Linked DNA regions of Oreochromis niloticus. The protein of the gene in region 3 purifies or fractionates together with the protein of the main gene of each other region. This does not show direct contact. Links are inferred from orthologs where the notes say so. Each region holds a gene or a part of one and is shown on either strand. Other genes may lie near its edges.

What was found.
Region 1: the proteins of setdb1b (region 3) and atf7ip purify together in Homo sapiens (affinity purification with mass spectrometry; 6 studies listed by BioGRID and IntAct, counting the BioPlex papers as one, with this or other methods). This does not show direct contact. The link is inferred for Oreochromis niloticus from reciprocal best matches to the Homo sapiens genes SETDB1 and ATF7IP.
Region 2: the proteins of setdb1b (region 3) and chaf1a purify together in Homo sapiens (affinity purification with western blotting; 3 studies listed by BioGRID and IntAct, with this or other methods). This does not show direct contact. The link is inferred for Oreochromis niloticus from reciprocal best matches to the Homo sapiens genes SETDB1 and CHAF1A.

What each region holds. Positions count from the first base shown.
Region 1 is NC_031971.2:24,258,210-24,265,397, forward strand, and holds the start of atf7ip (activating transcription factor 7-interacting protein 1), read right to left. Parts: upstream 3,036-7,188; 5' UTR 2,441-3,035; exon of another isoform or gene 2,432-2,440; intron 1-2,431. UniProt on the Homo sapiens protein: Recruiter that couples transcriptional factors to general transcription apparatus and thereby modulates transcription regulation and chromatin formation. Can both act as an activator or a repressor depending on the context.
Region 2 is NC_031986.2:39,743,127-39,750,576, reverse strand, and holds the start of chaf1a (chromatin assembly factor 1 subunit A), read left to right. Parts: upstream 1-4,407; 5' UTR 4,408-4,904; coding exon 4,905-4,968; intron 4,969-6,720; coding exon 6,721-6,768; intron 6,769-7,024; coding exon 7,025-7,450. Other genes in the region: scamp4 (secretory carrier-associated membrane protein 4), read right to left, coding at 2,701-2,857, 2,973-3,101, 3,380-3,386. UniProt on the Homo sapiens protein: Acts as a component of the histone chaperone complex chromatin assembly factor 1 (CAF-1), which assembles histone octamers onto DNA during replication and repair.
Region 3 is NC_031976.2:21,682,947-21,690,129, forward strand, and holds the start of setdb1b (histone-lysine N-methyltransferase SETDB1-B), read left to right. Parts: upstream 1-4,178; 5' UTR 4,179-4,319; coding exon 4,320-4,336; intron 4,337-4,348; exon of another isoform or gene 4,349-4,367; intron 4,368-6,355; coding exon 6,356-6,559; intron 6,560-6,674; coding exon 6,675-6,841; intron 6,842-6,935; coding exon 6,936-6,979; intron 6,980-7,183. UniProt on the Homo sapiens protein: Histone methyltransferase that specifically trimethylates 'Lys-9' of histone H3. H3 'Lys-9' trimethylation represents a specific tag for epigenetic transcriptional repression by recruiting HP1 (CBX1, CBX3 and/or CBX5) proteins to methylated histones.

The DNA.
Region 1 (7,188 bases), on a different chromosome or scaffold from region 3:
CCCTCGCCCAAATTACCACCTTTGCAGCACACTGATTATGTCTGCAGCTTCCTAGCATCAACACGGCGTTACACTGATGTTGTAGGACTGGCCTTTAATGTCTTGAAGTGAGGTACGAACATACCCAAGACACAAATGTACCTTTCCAATTGCGAAACTTGGGAGAAAATTCATTATTAACAGATTTTTGATTCAGTGTGGCAGATAACTGTGCACAGGGAGAGATGTGAGGACAACTCTTTCTTGTCCTTTTTCCAATGTATCCTTGTGAATAACAAGGTAGTTTTTCCCACCTGAAACAGTTCGTTATGAACAAAAACAGTAACAATGTTTAAGTAGCTTTTTGTTGTTTGCTTTAACATTTGATGTCATATTAATCAGAATTTTAAAAAACTACCGGTGTAATATGATCAATTCTATGGTATTAGAAGGCAATTAATTTATCATTGGCCACTGCCACTGCTAGCTGACATTTTTTGTTTTACGCATTTCTAACATATATGAAGCCAATCTGGAAGCGGCTTCTATCTGACAGCTACCAGAAGGTGACAGTTGTGGCTGCAAAAAGAACCTCTGGTTCTACAGAGATCTATGGGGGGGGGGAAACGTTTGTTTTGACCACTAAACATTTTCGTGCAGAGTTTAGGGCTTAATCATTAACTCTGGTTTTTTGCAACCAAAAGGGTACCGGTTGAAACACACATCCAAACTAAATACAATCTTAAAGCGAACACAGGTAAAACTACAAAATGTAGCATAGCATATTACTGTTACAGTAATTGCAAAAACCTGGATTACAGGAAAAGCAGAATAAATAGCTACAACAAAGTCAAATATAACTTTACGTAAAATCGAAAAAAAAGCTTAAAAACAAAAAAAACAGGTTGTGCCTTTAAGGGCTGCTTCCTGTTCTGTAGGGAAACAACTGTCTCTGTAATGAATTACAAGTGCACCATGTGAGCACTGCAGAAGTGAAGAGGGGGAGGTGAAACAAGAAACAAGACATGATTCAAAAAATTAAAAGCAAATATGAAACTCTGGACTTTATATGAACTGATTTTTTTTTAAATATGTAAGATGTTGGAAAATATGATGAAAGACTACAACACTGAAAACTGAGAAATTGCCCAAGACATTTGGTGTCTGATCTTTAGTGCAGTGTAGTGATCATGTACATCTTTCCATCTTTCCACTAAAACCATAAAAGGTGGAGATTTCAGTTTTTAAGTAAACTCACTGGCAGGTAAAAAACTAAACCTGCTCAACTCTTTTCTGATCATTGACTTTAGGCCACACCCACATCCTAGGAGAGTGAAATGGAAAATTACTGGATTGTACCACTTTAAACCAAGAGGGGGAGGGGGCGGGTTCAGCTGCTCAATATGAGGAATGCAGCTTTCTCCTACTCACTTCTAGTCACTTTAGACAGCTAAGTTAAAAAGATTATACTGTAGCAGTGAATTCAGGGATACCATCTAGTAAGAGCTAAAAAACTTTTGTGTATTTTATAAAAAACACCAAATGTTCATTTAGCATCCACAGAAGATCAATAACGGACGCCACAAAGTTTTTTGTTATTTCAACATGCAGCATGCTGATCATATTCGCTGCTTCCTAGCACCAACATGACTACATTGACTTTGTAGAACTTTCCCTAAAAAGTCATAAAATGAGGTACGAACACATCAGAGACACAAGTGTGCATTTCCACATTCTGAACTGGGAAGCAAACTTAAAGTATTTGATTACTTGAGAGATGTAAGAACTCTTTCTTGAATCAGCAGATAGTAAAGTGACTGTTATTCATATAACTAAAGATAAAGACGACTTGTTTCATAACGTTCATCAGAAATCAAAGAATAGACACGTAAATTTTTTAAGGCTCAAAAGTTCTAAAATATATGCTGTATGCAATAAAAAAACTAAAAAAAAACTACCTGAATAACCAATGTAAGATTTATCAGCATTCATTTCAATTTACAGTTTAATGCTAGCATACATGGATGTTATGATTCCGGACTGGTTATGCGAACGACTTTTCTAACACGCACACAAAAAAAAACTAATCGAATATAACCCATTACCGAAAAAATAAAATAAAAAAATGTCTGTAAATAAAAGCTGCAAATAAAATGTTTTCACTCTGTAATATCGATAGAAAGAAAAAAACAGTTTCAATATACCATTATTCATTTAGCGAACATTGACACTGCTAGCTAACAGGGTTTTCATTATGCATGTCTGCTGTAATCCCGGTCTGTAGGGGTCACTGTTGCATTGTACGCAGCCAACTACCATTAACAGATTTTTTTTTTTCCTAATTCATATCAAATATTTCTATTCAGAACCACAAGTTCCATAAAGGATGGCATTCACTGCTATTAAATAAAAGTACAAATAAGCTGTTTGGGTAGCATGCTAACTGCAGTACCTCACTCACCGAATTTCTCTACGCTGTCCTCCGATGTTCCCGCGATTTTAAGCTTCGTTCCGTACGGTCTCCTCCTCACCCGCTGGTGTCCAAACCAACTCTTACGGACCCCCTGTGTGAAGCACCGGTGCTCTCGGGATGCGTTATCAGTGCTGCATCAAGTCCACGTTCTCAAGATGAACCGGGGAAACTAGTGAACTGTGCCACAACAACAACTGTTGTGTTCGCGGATTCAACCGAGTGCTCCGAGCACCCTCTGACTCGCGAACAGACTCCTCCTCCTTTCGCGCACGCACAAAAAAACTCCAACGGCTGACGTTGCGAGCGGGAGGGGGATTGGTCGTTAAACGACTAACGGTCGCGCAGTCCAGAGATGCAGTCTGAGTGGTTCACTCGGGGTTTTTTAAAGCATCCTGTTGTTCACCGTGCTGAAGTCGGTAGATAAAAGCAGGCAAGGTATGTATATGAATCGCTGTAGGATGTTTTAGGTCGGTTAGTACGGAGGATATGCAGGACTCAAAGAAAATGTGCTGCAGCTTGTAGTTACCCTGCAGCAGCAGGAGCAGGTTTGAGACAGACACAGAGCCAATGAGTGGTAGAGAACAGGCAGCTGAACATTGGCGTGGAGGGGGAGGGGTGTCCAGACAGAGCCCAGAGACATTAATGCTAAGGGGAAGGGGTTATAGGGAGGGGGAGGAGCCTTCTGCCAAACAACAGCCTGAAAATTTGTCTGTAACCTAACTACAGACAGTGGTGTGATTGTAGTTTTGTAAACCTACACTTACAGTTACACATGACCTGCTGCATCTGCAAGCATGGTGGTTATGCAGGGTGTTAGGCACCTTGAAGTGTTGCACTTTCTACACGGAAGTGCACACATGAGAAGAGTCCACCTGAAGGTCCCAGCGAGTAGTTATGTTATGTTATTTATTAGAAACAACAGCCTTTTTACAGTCATTTCCTTCTGAGATCACAAAGCATTAATTCAGGTCAGCCATTTTGTGCACTCACTTGTGCTTGAGGAACTTGCTGTTCCCTAAGAGGCCAGCAGGGGGTGAGTTATAGTGTTCTTATATTCTCATGTTTGTTGGTATTCCAGAAAAGGAATAGCTTAAACCTTTGCACCGCGTGTTGTCTGAGTCCCTTTGCAGCAGAATCCATGTGTTTGGGAGCAGGGGAGCTGGTATCTGTGCTCCCCAAGAGCCTGCTTGTCTCTCTCTTTCTCACACCCTTTTGCACACCAGACATGTCTGCAGTGCTGAAGAAAGCAGCCTTGAGCTTAGACAAGTCACCCCCTGTGGTCATATCAGCTAGGCTACACTGTAGCTTAGTCCTCATACACTGATATTGGGGCATAAATTGAACACACAGCAATGAAAAGCATTTAGATTTCCCTTCGCTTAGGCAGCACAAGCAGCCTGAAAATAGCCTGCATAGCTGAAGCTCTGAGTTTCGTGAATCACCGTTTAGAGTCCTCAATAAATCATAACACGCTGCTTTGATGGTAGAAGTATTTTTGCATAGTTACCCGTGCAAGTGAGGAATAAATCCTTTTAAAATTAGAGTACTTTTCAATATTTTTGTCAGGATTTTTTAAAGTTCCTAATGCTGGAAATCTCACTATAACGCCAGGTGAGCTTGTATGTTTCGGCAGAGTTATAAAGCTGTCTGTACACATGCCTCTTTATTTAAAAAAATAAATCTCAATAAGCGCATTTGTTTCTCTCTGTCTTTACACACTCATCTGTAGCCACAAATTTGCTTATTAAAACCCCACAGCAGGCTTGACTTCCTGCAGTAATAAAAAAACTACATTTGTATGCATTAGTTTGAAGTACGCACACTTTCACATAATTCTCCTTGTTGATAATTGTGAGTTCTTGAGTGGTGTTTTTTGTGTATACATGTATTTATAACAGGGTCCATTCTTCTCCAGCCTGAAAGCAGAATTTTTCCATGTTCCTATTTCCTCCAAATATACCTTTGCTAAGATTTGCAAGGTTGCAGTCTCAGCTGAGGACCTTAATTGAGCTTTCAGAAAGGCGTTGGCTTATCCAGAGGTCGTCTGTGCGTAGGTAAGGTCTCCCTTTACCGATGCTGATCCGGGTCCCTTGTCATCATATGGAGTTTTCAGTCGGGCTTTCTGCCCAGCACTTCTACAGTGTTCCTGTAAATTACCATTCTTAATGATATTATAATAGTCTTTTAAGTGTCAGTTAGCTTAACTCGAGATTTCCTAAGTAGGAGAGCAAAGTTTGAGTGGTCAGAAAATTTGTCGGTACAAGTCCATTCACCCACTCTCTTCAGGGACGCCAGGGAACGCTGGAGCCTATCCCAGCTATCATAGGGTGACAGGCGGGATGCATACTTGAACTGTATGAGACCTAATGAGTTAATTAATGCTGACCTCTGAGAGTTTCCTTGAATGTTTGGGTGTGTCAGTTAAATATATAATTAAATGACACATTTAGTTTCCCCGAAGGGCTTTATTCATCTTTTTACTTTGAAATTTAATAAACGTTTAATTTGCCTTGAGGTGTCCAAACTTCTGCATGTATTGTAGTGCTTGTTTATAGCAGAGGGAGATTTTGGGTAGGCATGAGGAACAGACACTTGTTTTCGGTATAATTTTATTGACTTTGTGAAGCTAAACTTAAACTAACAAGCTAAATAAACCTCCACAAAAACTATGTTGTCTGTTTCAAATAGAAACAATTCTGGAACGAACAAACAATTCTGGATGATCATTTTTAATATAGTTTAATACCAAAGCCCACATGAAATTTAGCTTTAACCACCATCCGCACACACTGTTTTTAACCTTAGCTGAACATGACAAGTCAGCTACAAAGCCAATGATAAAGGTACACCACAGAAACTGTAGCTCACAGTAAACCACATTCACGATCTGCCAGCCAATGTGTCTACATGGTGTGCCATGTCCTTTAGAGTCTCAGCGTAAACAAGAGAACGCCAGAAAATCATATTAAAAATTAACTAAAGCTCTTTATCAGCACAACAAAGGGTGCAAAGTTTCGAATCGAACTTTAGTCAGTCTTTAATTTGCCGTCTTCCCAATACAAAGTCCACGTAAGGTCAGTTTACGCTAATGCGTGTTGGTAATAGTCTGGTTGTCATGTGCTTCCTGCATTCAGTCAGCTCCCTTCCCTAACCATGCGGTATTTACAGTAGTGCATGTGGGAAGAGGACTGTTTCCTGCCATGTGCTTCATGTCAGAGAAGTGTAAATAGCATCCCAAACTGATTATTCCAGATGGATTTGTGAAAACAGTTTATGTAAAACACTGAATCTGTTACTGAAATGGACCTTTATAAGAGTGGAGAACATACCTCTACATTTGTGCAAAAATAAAATACAATAACACAAAGTTTCCAAACCACACCCACCGTTGAGCCGCCTTCTTTTGATCTCATAGGTAAAGTTTTTAAGTTATTTCAAGGTTGCGGTGCTGTTCTGTTGACAAAATCTGGTCACCGGTGCTGAGGCAGACATAAAAACACTGTTGGGATTGTAAATCAAAAAGTGACCTATTGTAAGTTACTTGTTTCTTTAAAATAAACACAGTTTTACTCCCATTAGTAACTAATTGTACGACCTGTTCCTCCTAAGCATTGCCTGAAAGCCATTGTCTTATAATTACTAGTTATCAATACAATATTAAAACTTACCCAGACCCACGTACCTGCACACATGCATAAAATCTTTACATGTAAACATGATTTACACCCACTTAATATTTTATCCACATTTTCACACAGAATTTCAACACGTTGAACAGTGTTAGTTCATAAGTTAACGTAGCAAAATATTTTGATCACTATATAAAAATAAGGTTTGAAACTGAAGCTAGAGACTAGTATTAGCAAAAATGTCCAGATGTTGTTGGTCTAGTGACATCTAGAGGAAGGGTTTACATTTTATATACATAAAATTGATTTTCATGCTTTCCAGCAGTAGAAGAAGAAAAAAAAAACATCTCCTTGCCTGTATTGTCGCTAAAATCGTAAAGTTTTCTATGAAGACCTTGAGGTAGCAATACAGGAAGCTGAGTCATGTGAAAAAGGGCGTCCCTCCTTGGATAACAAGCCTGCTCATTTACAGCCATGGTTCCAGATACTTTGTGTTTAAATGTTTAGCCTGAAGATGAAACAAGCTTTATTAATTGTTTAAAAATAATGAAAAAAATGTTCTTGGGTACATCAGTCTGTTTAGTAAATTTCATCCTAATTGCTGGTAGAAAAATAAAAACAACAGGACTGTGGCAAAAAACAATCACCATGATTTACTAATTAATATCTGCTAAGACTGGTTGTATAGATGTAACCCTGTGCATGTGTATAGACATAAACAAATATGAAACATTACAGTTTTACTGCTTTTAAGTCAGTAATGGGTCATCGCGGTCTCTGTGTCTTTTCTCATTGCTAGACCTGATTATCCTGTTCTTCCTGCTCTTGGGAATTATTTCTCCGTCATTGTCATCTTTTGTCTAGCATGCTTATGAGTTAGCATTTCTTAAACTAAAAAGTTCAGAAAACATATGGTACTATTGTAAACAATGCTAGGACCTTTCCAATAATGTTCCAGCGTAGTAGGTGGCATTTTCGCAGCTTATCGCTGCTTAATACCTGCCATAAAATGAAAGAACAACAAAAAGACAGACAGTAACTAGCTAGCAAATAGACACCAAACACAGAGGCTCTAAAACAGTCACAGTAAATCAAACAGGCTCATCA
Region 2 (7,450 bases), on a different chromosome or scaffold from region 3:
TGTTAATGCCCTATCGGCCCCTCTGGCTAAACTTTACTAGATCCGCCCCTGGACAGTTACCAGCCGTCAGCTGCGTAGAAAAGGATCCTGGTGTAGAAAGTAATATTAAATAAATTCTATCAACAGCTTATCAAGCTTAAATGTGCTGCTGTTGTTTATCCGCTAGTTTCCTGTTTCTGGCGCAAAGTGGGCGATAAACAAACAAGAGAGACGGGACTCGCGACAGAAAAGCCGATCAGCTGATCATTGATCAGTTTCATGATTGAAGTAGCAGCAGGAGAGGGAGGGAGAGAAGAAGAGGTAGTCCCTCCATATATGGGTTTTTAAGCTTAATGTGGGAATGCTTTACAAACATTCAGAGATGAAATTACACACTTGCTTTACTTCTCTGGGATAGCTTTCTCGGAGATGAAATTCCGGTTTTGTAGCGAGGCTCCAAATGCTCAACCAGACCGCCGAGAGGTCTCGCACGCCCCAGCTGCTCTATCACGTGACGCATACTGCTCCGACGTGCTAAAGTGATGAGCTGGAGTTTTTTGAGGTGCTTTTGTGATATTTAATGGATCGGATTACATTTTTTATTTCTCTCCGATATCCGATCCAGTAATTTAGCTCAGTATCGGACCGGTCCATCCCTAATTGAGATAGCTGTAAAGCTCAACTAGAAGCTTCAAGCTATGGATGTTGTAATCCGATAACCTTGAATTCATGTGGATATAGTACACATGAAGCATTCATTTCACTGTTTAGTTTTTTTTTTTAAAACTATTTGGTAATAAGTACCAATTGAAAAAGTTTTTTCATCACAAGTTAAGTTTGTTTCCTCCACCCCAAAAAACAAAATAACTTATTCAGGAACATGTCCTTTATATTCAAATTGTTCTGCATTTAAAGGTTATAACCTCTTACTGTAATGTACAGATCAAATTCATAATAAAATTAATCAAATATACACAAAAAGTATCCCATGCCAAGATGTTCTGGTCAGTCTGAAAACCGATTGTCATTTTAAATATCTCTATATAGCCTTATTATTACTTTGAGCTTCAGATGAATCTATTACCTTGAAGGAAAGGTCAGAGATTAACTGTAACATGATATTATAAATCTTTATAAAGTACGTTCTATATGTTGACAACACACCCCACACTAGTTTCTAAGTTAAAAGGCTTTTGGTCAATTTTCAACCAATAAATCCTTAAGCTGACCTTAAAGACCTTGGCGGAGGGAAGTAAAATTTTAATGGATTATTGATATGACGCCACTCCACACGCTTAGAAAGTTTTACCATAATTTATGATAAACTTTTTAAGCCATCATGTTTACAGAGAGAGTGACATACATGCATGCACGCAAATGCTAACAAAAACATAAATGTCCCTGGTGGATACGATCATAATCTTCCTCATCTTTCCTGAGCATACTGACACAAAATTACACATGCAGATATAAGTAGTACGTAAACCCTTGAAACTGAGAGCTTTGAATGAGATATATAATCTTCAGGAAATACTTTTAGACCATTTTTCTTGACACGTGGTGCAAGCAGCTCTCTTAAGCTCACTCAACATCTAACTGATTCAAAGCTATGACTTTTTTAAGAGACATAAAAAGCCTAGATGTCTTCTAATTTAATGCTTCTAAATTAAGATAAAACCAAGTTTATTTTACTTTAAAAAGCTTAGAAACACAGTGTTTAACCAGATACTTACTCTGAATGGCATTACCTTGGCTAAGGAATCCTGGAGTCATTTTTGACCAGGATATGTGCTTCAATGCGCATATTTACCAAATATGCCGCACTGCTTTCTTGCATTTGCGCAATATGTCTAAAATTAGAATTGTCATGTCTAAGAGTCATGGTGAAAAAGTAGTTCATGCATCTTTATTTGTAGGCTCGAGTACTGTAATTCATTATTATCGGGTTGTTCTAAAAGCACCCTGAAAAACCTTCAGTTGATCTTAAAACTCATATATAATGACCCTATTGTTTACAATACTTTTAGTATTGCCCACAGCAAAGGAAATACAAATAACAGCATATAATGCTGCATAATCCATGGGTGCGATTGTTTTTTCTCCCCTCACCAGTTTTGTTAACTGGGTTAATGGTTGGTTTTTTTAACTGGGTTAGCAAACCAGGCCTCTGTGACATGGGCCTGAATTACTTAATTTAATTATTTGTGTACAATGCTGAAAACTATTGGGTTTAAGAATTCATGCAGCCGCTAACAATTAACTGGAACTGCAGCCCTGGAAAGATAACAGGGGTGTTCTTTAAAAAAAAAAGAAAAGTGAAGAGTAAAAGTGGAACCAGTAAAACCTGCACCTTTTGGCATAGCTCTGGAATAATGAAGCTAGATACAGATCACTTTTTATTTTCCCTTGATCTATATTATGTCTATTGCTGCTTTTTAAGCATTCCAGACTCGAAAACAAAACAAAACAGTTTTTGCCGTAGAGCCTTTGCTCATTATAACCTTCTTCTTTGGAACATGCTTGAAAACCTTTCGTTTTTCTCTCTGCCAGTTTTACTCCCTGGGTAAACATTTGACTTTGATAATGCATCATCTGAGTTCTTTTTTCCATTTATAAGAACTTTTTAATGTACATCTGATGTTATGCTGAAGTTGTAATTTATGCATCTGTGTAACCAGAAGCTGCTCATAAATTTGTGGCAATTACTAAATGATAACTGACCTGAAAGCTTTGTAGAGTGGTCGGAACCAGCAGGTGTAACTACAGGGGCAGAAGAGGATGAGCCAAAGCAGGGCAAAGCCAAAGTTTGTGGCACCTCCACCCCCGGCCCACCAAGCAATACATCCGATCAAATTTACGCTCAGTGTTCCTGAATACACTGCAAAGAGGAGAGATGAGCATGCGTGAAAAAAAGAAAGGGAAATCAGTACTTTCTCTGCAAAAATGGAAGGAATCCATGTGCTTCCTGTTCTGAAGAAACTGAAGACACTTACTCATCCAGAGGATATAGACTCTGTGCACCAGCAGCTGGTGGGGCCCAGGTATTTCCTCTTCAATGTTCTGGTAAAAACATGGCTTTATTTTTACAAACTTGGGCAGGGGTGGAAAGTTATTGGCCCGCTCTGAAACAAGAAGCAAGATTACATCATCAGAGTACTGTCATGGTAATACTTTTTATTTGAATATATCTGAATACAGTGCAGGGAGGGAGAGAGAGAAACTGAGGGATAGTGGAGTTGTACTTTAAATAAGAAGATTTCAAACATGAGGCTTGGAGGCCAAAACTGGCCTGCTACAGGGGTCCAATGTGGCCCACTGGAAGGTTTTTGCAGGGTGTAAAATTTGTATTCCAAGTACTTTGCAGCCCACCCCTTCTTTAGATAGACAGATAGTGACAAACCTGCCATTTTGAAATTCCACGTCTTCCCTGAAAAAGAGGAATATACAAAAAAGAGACGTAAATCTCCACACATTTTTAAATTTTATATTTAACTGCCATTAATTTTTCTGCCAGTGCTAACCTTGATTATCATACTACAAATGCACGTTAACCTTCGACCACTTGCAGGAGCAGTAAACCCTCTAATTAGTTCTAACTGCAAATTTCAACTTTGCTCAAATTGTATATCAGTTTCAATACGCCAACAGGAACACGTTCATGTTTTACCAATACCAACGTGAAGTTATTAACTGTTTGCTTTACATGAGACATTTTAGAGTTGATAGCAGCTAAGGCGTGTTTCTAAGCAGTTAGTTGTCGTACAGTAGCAGATATAAGCTCAGTGACTCTTTATCTCACGCTGCTGCTTTGTTTGAATAGCAATGGTCTGCAGTCGAAAAGGCGTGAAAAAGCACAACAAAAGAACAGCAAAGACACGTCGGTTTTACCGGGGTAACAGAATTTCCTCGCGGTTCGGTCGACGACACCGGTGGGGTCCTGGAATCATTTAAGAATCGCATGCGCTTTTTCGACCCATCATCTGCGACTGCGCTACCCGTTCAGCACTTGTAGTTCAAAACTGTTTATATTCGGCAAGTACAGGGGAGCAGTAGAACTACACGTCCCAGCAGCCATTCGAGCGGTAAACGGAAAACGCGTGACTTCAACATGACATCGTTTCCACCCAGTCCTCTCTCTGTAAACAGTATAGGAGAGGCCTTTTTAATCTTAAAGTAGAGAAATGAAAACCTCATTAACATATTCATAAACATTTAGCAGCTTTCTTGACACAAAAAAACTGCTGGTCCGGGACACTGGGATAGTCGGGAGTTTATACCGGCCCATTCTTTTATTTCACACAACATGGCAACCATGACTTCAGAAAGTCAAACTCTTCGGCCAATCACAGAGCCCGAATCATCAGCTACACTGGGCGTTCTTTGGTTCATAGCATCAGGTGTCCACTATGGAGTGGCCAGTGTCGGCATAATAAAGTTAAATTGGTTTTAGACCACTGAATGACATGAGAGAATAGACTTTTATTGTTACAGTTCACATCTTAAATACTATCAGACAGTGTCTAGAACTCTCTTTCTACCAAGAACTCGTAACTTTATAAAACGTGAACGGTAGCATAAACGTGCAGCGCAGTAGTACAAATCAAACAGCCCCTTGGCAGCCGGTAACTTCTTTTGGACCAATCAGTGAGGAGCATTGATGGAAGTAACAGGCTCCCGCCAATTCCGACTCAGGAGCGCGAGGCAGGCAGCAGGGTAAACCGGGGGAGCATGTAGGAGCTGTAGGAAGGAGTATGCGTTATGTTTTATGTGAAATAAATTAGATATACATGTCGTTTGAATAGCAGCACAATATTGGTTTGCTACCGCGGTGTATTTTCGGGTGTTAACGTGAACCTTGAGGGTATTTTGAAGTCGCTTTGTCGGAGAACACAGCTAACGACAGAAGCCCCGGGTTAGTGGTTGGGATGTTGGCGGCTGAAAACCCATCGGTGGAAGGACATTTGGCAGCATCGACTCCTCGTAGAAGAGGTAATGCTACGGCCCTGAATGCCATTACAGCACACATACGTTTACATGTATATCATAGACAAAGTACAGTTTTGTCTTAACTACGCACAGAGTTGACAAACTGACAAAACTGTCATTTGCGTACTATAAAGTTATCCAACGCTAAAAATAGTTTTATCTCGCGAGGCTATTTAATGTTAGGTAATGCCAATGGCACGAGACACACACGGATTGTTTTAAAAAAAATATACACTATTGTCTTGAATCATTCAAGTCTGCTATGTGCAGCTAACCTGCTACTTTGCTGTTCTAATGTCACTTAACGCCAATCCGAAATTCTTTAGAGTCAGATAACGTTTAAATTAGTTAAGCTAGGCTTCGGTTGGTCGGTATTTGTATCCATCCAACTCTAACTGGCAATTAAAGGCATTTAACCGAATGACAGTTGTATTTTTTTGCTCTACTTTGCAGCTCAAAGCTCTGCCTCAGGTGCTTAGCTAAAGCTGCTAGGCTAGATGCTTAGCAGCAAACATGAAAGCCGGGGTCACAGTTAACGCGTCAAAGCTGCTCCCTTCCCTTCAGCTTTACACACATTGACGTTTTGAGGCTGCTGTAACTGTGTCGTGTTGTTACGACCATCCTCGGTTGTTATTTGGAGGTTTCAGCTCAGTGCTTCGGCAGGCAAAACTTAACTTGACAGACCCAACTGAGGCGCTTGCCCGGTGGACTCTACCGGGCCTTGTTGCACCGATGCATACGCCGGTTGGCGGGAGAGCCAGCCAAACATAGCTACTATACTCGGTGTAATGTTGTTGTTGCAGCGTATTGTGCCGTTAATACAGCACATTCAAGCGCTACTTTTACTCTCAGATAAATACATTTAATGCCAATCGATTAGTATTGTTTTTCCGACTGTTGTTATGACACTAGTCAGTAAATGTTATTTTACTACAAGCAGAGTCTTAACACTAAAAAGCGGTTTAGTGGGTTTGCCAGTGTTTTGTTTTTTAAATGGATAAATATAATTTTTTGTGTGGGTATGGCTATTGTTAAAGATTTTATTGATGAATGCCAATATCGGTCTGATAACGGGTCCACTTCTCCTAAAGTCTGATCACTCTGCTGGGAGTGGGGAGGGGGAAGTAGGCCTCAACAGGTTACCAGCATGAGTGTAACTGTTTTATTGTGTGTACATACGAAAAAACGTTAAACGCTGTGTTTTAAGTATTACTTGCAATAGCAGTCATTTTCCAAAGACAGCTGGGATAGGCTCCAAGATAGATAATGATACTTGGAAGTTTAAAACCTGTTCAGTATTTTTTTTTCAGTCCATCAAAACCATTTCAAGTGCCTTGATGTGACTGTTGTGAATTGGCACTGTATCAATACAACTGATTTGAATTGGAGCTTAGAAAGCAATTTATTTGCTTCTAAAAGGCACAGATGTTTCAAATATTCCAACTAATTACAGTCACTTGTCTCGAAGCTTATTAATTACTTTTGCCATTGGTGACATGTTTTTACATCACAAAACAGTGCTCCTAAACTGTTTCCACAGAAATTCCCTTTCTCTACTTAAAGATTTATCAGAAATAAATAAAGAATTGATAAAGTATTGCTGAAGTAAGTATTAATATTTATAAAATCTTATTATATAATTTTTTTTTCCTTCTTGTTGAGCACTTTCACTGGCGGGTTATTTAAAACAAATTAATATCATGAAGTGACATTTTACTTTAATTATCTTTTAATGTGTCTGTTTTCATTTTTCAGGCATGGATTGTAAGTCAAGTAACAATGCCAGCAAGAAACTTGTACAAGGTAAATGCAATGTTTAATTTTTACTTCTACATTTTGTGAAACATATTACCCTTGACAATGAGAAATGAGACAATGCAGATTAAATGTTTCATAATTTCTGTACTGTAAAATTATACTTTGCACTAACAGTGCCTGTTACTTACCTCTAGACTTTATGTATTACTTTTTCCCTCATCAATATATTGAATCAAAATTGTGTCTTGCATCATACACAGTGGTGCAGCTCCAAATGATCTGTATTTTCTTCTGTCTCCAGCCCGTCTTCCTTTCAAGCGCTTGAACCCTGAACCTAAAGAGAACCAGCCACCTAAGCGCCCCTGTGCCCATTCCTGCCCTGAACCTGAAGTCTCAGACAGGGAGAATGAGAATGCATCCTCTCCTCTTTCTGTGCGCAGTGGCCCACCTTTGGTTAACGGTCGTGGGCCACTTGATGGCTTCATAAGCCGCAGACGCGCCGCAACTTCAGATGAGAACATGATTATAGATCTGACTGAGGACAACACGTCATCTCCTTTAAAGCCCCTTGCATCATCTGCTTCAACCTCTCCCTGCGTTTCAGCAAAAGATAAGCATCACTGCAAAGACACAACGGCTTCGCCTGAGAAGTCCTGCAGTGCTAATGACGCTCCTAAAACGCAAACATTAGACTGTGTCGTAATCAACAATGATGATAAAGAAGAAG
Region 3 (7,183 bases):
AACTTCCTTGAATGTGCTCTTGATTAGATCTTATAAAGTGGTTTTTCTTAACTACGGAAATCATTCTGTCGTCATGTACTTCAGTTGCCTGCTGTGTCTTTCAGGCCTTTTGGTGTTGCTGAGCTGGTGAGTGCATTGCTTCTTTTTAACCAGATGATGCTGATTTGGCCACTCCTAAAGTTTTTGCTGTCTCTCTGGTGGGTTTATTTGGGGTTTTCAGCCTCTCGTTATCCTTCATTTGCACCCACATCTAGTAGTGTCTGTTGCTCAGAAGGTAGAGGAGGTCATTTATTAGTCGGCCTGAGGTTGGTTGGTGGTTCAATCCAGGTGTGCATGCCACAGTATTCCTGAGCAAGATACTGAAACCCAGCTTGCTGTACAGTGGGTGCACTGGAGTGTGAATGTTAGCTAGAAAGCACCTACTTAGGTAGGGAAAAAGTGCTTTTATGAATAGTGCTCGAGTAGAAAGGTGACATATAAGAACCATTTTCTATTTCTTTAAACCTCATATTGAGTGTTATTGTAAAAAGCAACCAAATGCAAGTTCATCACTTTGATCTTTCTATCTGCTTCATTTGTCATGGAAACAGGCCTCACCTGGTCATGAAACTGCGTATCAGTCAGTTATCCAATTACTTTCGAGCCTCTGAAAATGGGGGACTGTGTATAAAAATGACTGTAATTCCAAAATATTTAATGTAATGCCATTTCATTTTTGATGTCTGCAAGTACATCACTTGATTTAAAATGTACCGCAATACTGCACAGAGGCAAAAGTACAATTACTATGTCACTACCCAAATATTTCTGGGGGTGACTGTATTTCCATTGTTTATGGCATTGGTCCTTGTTTTAGTTACATCCATCCTTGCTTGAGCTTCCTTTAAACAGTTTTGTGTTCTTATTTGCAGAAAAAAAACAAAAACCACATTTGCCCGGATTGTATCCGTTTTCTTTCGCCTTTCTGTATATGAGTGAAGAGAGATCTGCGGGTATCTCCTGGGATCAGGTTCCACCTTCGTCCTTCCCTCCTCTCTTTCACAGGCTGGGGGTGAAAACGGATGGTAGTAATGCTACAACTCTTCTAAGAGAGGTTTACTGTGTCACCTCTTCAGTCTTTGGGTTGCACTTGAGTGACAGCATGTGCTGTAAATCTTGTTTTTCCAGTATCGTTTCAACAAATTCGGCTCCTCGCCTGACTTTTTAGTTGGATTCGCTGTTATTTACAAAGAGTCACTTTACTCGTTGTGTGTTTGTGTGTCTGTTAGTGGCATCAGAATACAAGCAATCTGCATTTTTTTTTGGTCAGGATCAAATTCCAAACCCTCTCAAGTGGATTGCCACTAAGGCATCATATCCTCTTTCTCCTCCTCAACCCTTTTTTCCCCTCCCTTTTCTGCATCTTGACCATCTTGTGCTCTCATCTTTCTGCCTCTTTCAGGCCATAAAGTGGCCCAAACTTCATGTGGCTGTGCAGGGGCACGTGGCACAGCAGATTGGAGGATCTCAATCTGCTCACTTGACTTGAGCAAAATTAAAAGGAAAAAAAAAACAAAAACTGTGTACAGCCACAATTTCTTCCTTGTTGTCATGTATCTACACCTTGCACTGAGAACTGAGATCCTACTCAGGTGTAATCTCCTGTAAAGGCCTCATGTCCTAAAGAGATGCCTGGGTGTTCTAATCTCAGGAACGGCCTGATTGTTACCAAACTCCTTATTAACTATGCATAGAGGACACGGTAGCCAAATGGAGCTCCGTGTGTCCATCAGTAAATCTTATCGTCGGGACGAGGATGTTAGGTGTCAGCGCAGAGAGGAAAAACAGCCAAAACAGAAGAAGAGTTGGATGATACGTGACGAACTGAAGGACGCACTTTTATCGAAGCCAACAGATGAGAAGAGAACTGTGAAGCAGATAAACTTGGGATTTATTTGGATATTTCAACATGGACCCTCCAGCCCTCCCTGTGGCCAGGCTGGATGTGGATGTAGATCTCGGGTTTGCCCTCTTCTTCTTCTTCCTCCTCTGCTTTTTCTTGTTGGTCACCATCATCCGCTGTGCTCAGATGGTGCTGGACCCTTACAGCGCAATCTCTGTAACGACATACCAGGAGGAGCAAATGGAGGAGTGATGGAGACCAGAGACCGGTTCAAGCTGTACAGATGGGATAACAGAAATAAAATCCTACACGCCACAGAATATTTTCAGGCATTTTTTGTGAATGAGTGAGTGGGGCTGAGCGGTTTGAGACCCTCTTTGAACTTTTATAAAGCTTCTACCCTACTGCAGCAGGAAAAAGTTATGCCAACAGCATCTGCACCTTCTAATCATGTAAGCGTCCATCTAAAATGTAGAGCATGTTTCATAATGTGATTTGTTGAAATGTGCATTAATGCCCCACAAGTTTCTGTAATATATCTCATAGCTTTTAAATGCTAGGACAAATTATGAGGGGGGAAAACAGTTCAATAAGTCTCGGGTGACTCTTAAGAATGAAGTGGAATCTTTTCATTGTACCAGAAAGTACACTGTGAAAAGCGGCTTAATTTCAACAAAAGCAAATCCCCTCCCTTCCACGATAATAGAGCGCAGATGTTCTCAATGCAAAACAGATGTTCAGTTCATTCCCCAAACTCTGCCACACGATGTTTTTGAGCTATTTGCGCAAACTCTCGTGCAAGCGACTTATTATCGAACAAATTGTGTAAGTAAGTTAGCTTGTAGCAGGTGTCAGTAAGTCGATGAATGGTGTCTATGTGGAAGAAAAACTGAAGAGCTTCTCTTTGTGCACAGTGGTTTTTATAATAAATATGATGTGAATATTCAGCTCACATAGCCCTCTGCATGTATTTCACAAACTGACTTCACAATCTGTTAAAGCCAATCTTTAAAATTCTAGGTTTTTAATATTTTTCACAAGTTTATTGTTTGTTTCCTTTCGTTGGGTTTGTGTTGCAGTGATGCTTTGCCGCTTCCAGCCACTCTTTCAAATGCAGGAATTCACACCCAGTGATCCTTCAGGAGAGACTAACTCATTCTAACGGTCCAAAGTTAATTAAATAATTGCTTTGCACTCACCAGACACCTTATTAGGTACACGTTGCTACTACTGGGTTGGGTTGGAACCTCTTTTGTCTTCAGACCTACCTTAATTTTTCATGGCATAGATTCAACAAGGTGCTGGAAACATTCCTCTGAGTTTTTTGGCCATATTGATGTGATAGCATCACACAGTTGCTGCGGATTCAGATTTGTTTACTGCAAATCAATGAGGCAAATCTCCCATTTCATCACATCTCTACTGGACTGAGATCTGTTGACTGTGGAGGTCATTTGAGTTCAGTGAACTCACTGTCAACTTTGTGATATGGTGTGTTATCCTGCTGGAAACAGCCATTGGATAATTGGGTATACTGCAGTCACAAAGGAACCGGCAAGACCCAGGTAGGCTGTGGTATTTAAACTATGCTCCGTTAATACTAAGGGGCACAAAGTGTGCCAAGAAAATATCCCCCACCCCTTTACACCACCAGCAGCAGCCTACACTGTTCATGTTGTGACCTTTCTACTCCATTTGATGCTCAGTTTGAACTTCCGCATCTTGACCATATTATTGTGGGATATCTGAGTTAATTAGCAGTCTAACCGGTGTACCTAATAAAGTGGCCTGATGTAATGAAAACATTTCCTGCATGGAAACACTCCATGAGATCATTGTTTAAAGCAATTTCTGTGCACATTCACACAGTTAGTTGAATCACACATGCGGTGTTTGTAAAGCTTGACTGCACTTATACTAAAACGATGATGCAATTTTATTCTTTAAATAAAAACGTTACAATGGCTTGAATTTTGTTTGTTTGTTTGAGGACTTTTGGAGCAGATTTTTTTATCATGATGAAAAGAAGGCCTCTGGGAGTTTTGTGCTCCTCCCCAGGAAATTTCAACTCAGTGACCCTTCATTTTCGTAGTTTCTGGTAAATTTTGTGCCCTATTCAGTATATATTCATGATGGTAATGTCTTTTTAATGTAACGAGAAACACAAAAATCAGGCAGCGATTGAAAATATAACTGTTGCCCTAAATAAATCCTTTATTTTTTTATGGGATCTTGGAGGAGGGACATCTCTCTGCGTCCCGTGTGCCGGACTGCACTTTTCTGAAACCTGGGTAACCCGTGTGGGCGGGTATGACCTGAACGTATCAAGCGAGCTAACACCGCCTACCTCGGTTTCCCTGACAAACAAAGCATGCACTCCCCATTGTAGCTAGCCGGTAGCATTGGCTAGTTAGCCAAATATTTGCGAGCCAAGAGGATGGAAACCGTTGAGGGGTGAGTCCTGTTTCTGGGTGAAATTTTACACGTAGGTGCAGGCGTTTCTTTGACTGCAGCTTCACGTTACGCAAATTTGTTGGTTTTTCCAGTCGCAGTCTTCACTTATTCAGCAGATGAGCCATTTTCTATGCTAGGCTAGGCTAACGAGCTAGCCTGCGCTACCTTGAGTCCTGCTCCTGTGTGGCTTCTCTCAGCTCCTCTGCACCTCTGAATAAAACGTAAATGCAGTTATGACGGTCAGCAGCAAGGCTAGGGTAAAACTGGAAATAATCGAAATCATTTAAGTGGATTTGTAATTCAGTGCATCTCCTTGCATGCTATCCAGTAGCAGCTTAGTGCATTCACTTATGCAGCTGCTGTATAATCATTTAAACTGGCGAGTAAACATTTAACTTTAAAATAATTACGTGTGTTATTACTACAAACTGCTTCTGTCTTTGCTGCCTTTATCCGGACTGCAGTTTCTAGTTTGAAGTAGCATATAAACAAAGCCAGCCGTGACATGTTGTAGTCGCATTTTAAACTCATGTGAGCATGCCCAGCATCAACTGCAGCGTCAGATCAGTTTAAAAATTTGCTTCTCACTGATGTTTTTAATTGTTCTGACTTTGCCACAGAGGAACATGTAGGTTTCTGTATGCTAAGGTGAAGCGAATGATGCAAACATGCACTGCACAAGCATGCACACCAGCTCATATCTGCAGAAAACAGCATTTATGTTACCTGGAGTTGTGAGTTATGTGCTTTGGCTGTGATGTCAGCTCCATTAGCTTATAGCTTACATGTGTATCCTTATCAGACACTTCCTCACAATCCAACAAACCTTCCTGCTCAGTCTGAGTCAGAGCCAACACTTTACAGTAGGCAAAGTTTCTCTCAGAAGGATCTCAGGTTTCCAGGTGTCTCTTTAACTTCCTTGGTACCGTGTTGACTGTTGGAGTAGTTCCTCTTGACAGTTTGTGTGTATGTGGTTTTCTCCACACAAGAGGATGATCAGTTTCACCTCCTCAGACGTGTTATCCTCTTCAATATCAAGTTTAAGGTGTCAGTCAGGGCCCTTGGTGTTTAGTGAATTTAAATTTCATTCATGACTTTCTGTGCAGTTACAGTATTACTGTTTGGTTGACACAAATTTCCCAGGCACACCTGGACTTGCCTCAAAGAGCACCAGAGTGCTTCGCCACGACGTGTGGCGACTGCTGATAGAGACGGAGGATCAGAGATGCACTGGTGGTTACTGTTTATGTGTGTGTGGCTGGTGTTGATGTGATAAATGTGGTACTTTATAGGGGTGATCATAAAAAACAGCGCATTACAAACTCAGTAATGTAGTAGTTACATGTGGAAACTCCATTTTTGTTGCACAACGTCATATTTGCTTAGCCCAGCATGAAACTTGAATGAAAATAACATTTTTCCTAATTTATTTTGACCAAGAATTTCACATTAAGAAGTACTCTACATGTTTTAATTTGAATTATTGCGAAATACAACTATGTACCGTTCAGAAATTGTTTTTTTATTAGTAGGTACTCAAATATGGGAATTTACATGATAGCTTTTAATTGTTATCTGATTTTATTTATTTGTTTTTAATTTACCTTGCAGATAGTCAGACAGTTTTTGATTTGTCTGTGCCAAATTACAGATCCTGATTCGCTTTTCGGCCAGTATACTTCAGCTTGCCTATCAAAGGTTGCACATCACATGTGCTGTCACAGGGCAAAAATAATATCCAGCTTATTTGAGCACAGTTGGGCAGATAACAAAGAAGTAAATGATTAACTACACATAAGCGAATTTACTCAGTATTTGTTATGTGTCACGTGTCTGAAAGAAAAAAGCAACATATCAGCTGAAATATCAGAATATTCTACTTTTTATCACCAAATATCAATATTAGTCTTGAAAAATCCTACGTCGTGTGCGAGAGAACGTTAACGGGCAAATGTGAAGGAATCTTTGGAAGAAGGAGCAATAAATACACACTGAGATGTTTCTGTGCTCCTTTCCCAGAATGGAGGTGGACGGCTGGGACTCCAGTCTGGAGGAAGAGCTGGGTGTTTCTTTGGACGAGCTGAAGAAATGGATTGAAGAAGCTGTGGAGAAGAGCGAGATTGTGCAGAAGAAAAAGGCTCAGTTGTCAGAACTGAAGGAATGGGTGGAGCAGAAGGAGGAGGAGGAGGCTAGGACAGAGAAGCTTCTCCGTGATGCCAACCAGTGAGCGGGAATTAAGATATTTCTTTCATTTTGATCAAACGCTGTGTCTTTATTGGTGTACAAACTAATTCTTCTACACTTCTCGCTCACTTCTTTCCTCCCCCCTCTTCCTCAGGTCCGTACTGGAGTGTGAGAAACTGGTGAAGGCAACTTACCGAAAGAACGGCCTCGTCTACCGAGAGAGCAGCTCGGAGGACGAGGGAGGCGGAGCTGTGTTGTCCTCTGAAGTCATCGAGATAGACGATGATGACGACGACGATGACGTTATTGCTGTTGGCTGTTGTAAGTCGGGCTGTTTAGTTATGAAGATGCACGGATGTAATGGAGTGATTGTGCCTGATTAATGATTTGTTTGTCTTCCATCCTTCATTTTCAGTGGTTCTTCCGAAGAAGCCTATAACTCCAGTCAAAGATCCAGTGGTGAGAGCAACGCAAAGCATTGCTGTGTTGATCTGTTATATCTGTCTGTTTGAGGAGAAATTATTTTCATTTTGCTGATTGATAGCTGTTAGCTGGTTCAGTTTTTCCTGACATCTAACAAATGGATTGGTGGACGTGACTGATAAAGCCTCTGAGAAAAGCAAAACACTCTCTCTTGCTGGATTTAATCCAGATTAACCAAAA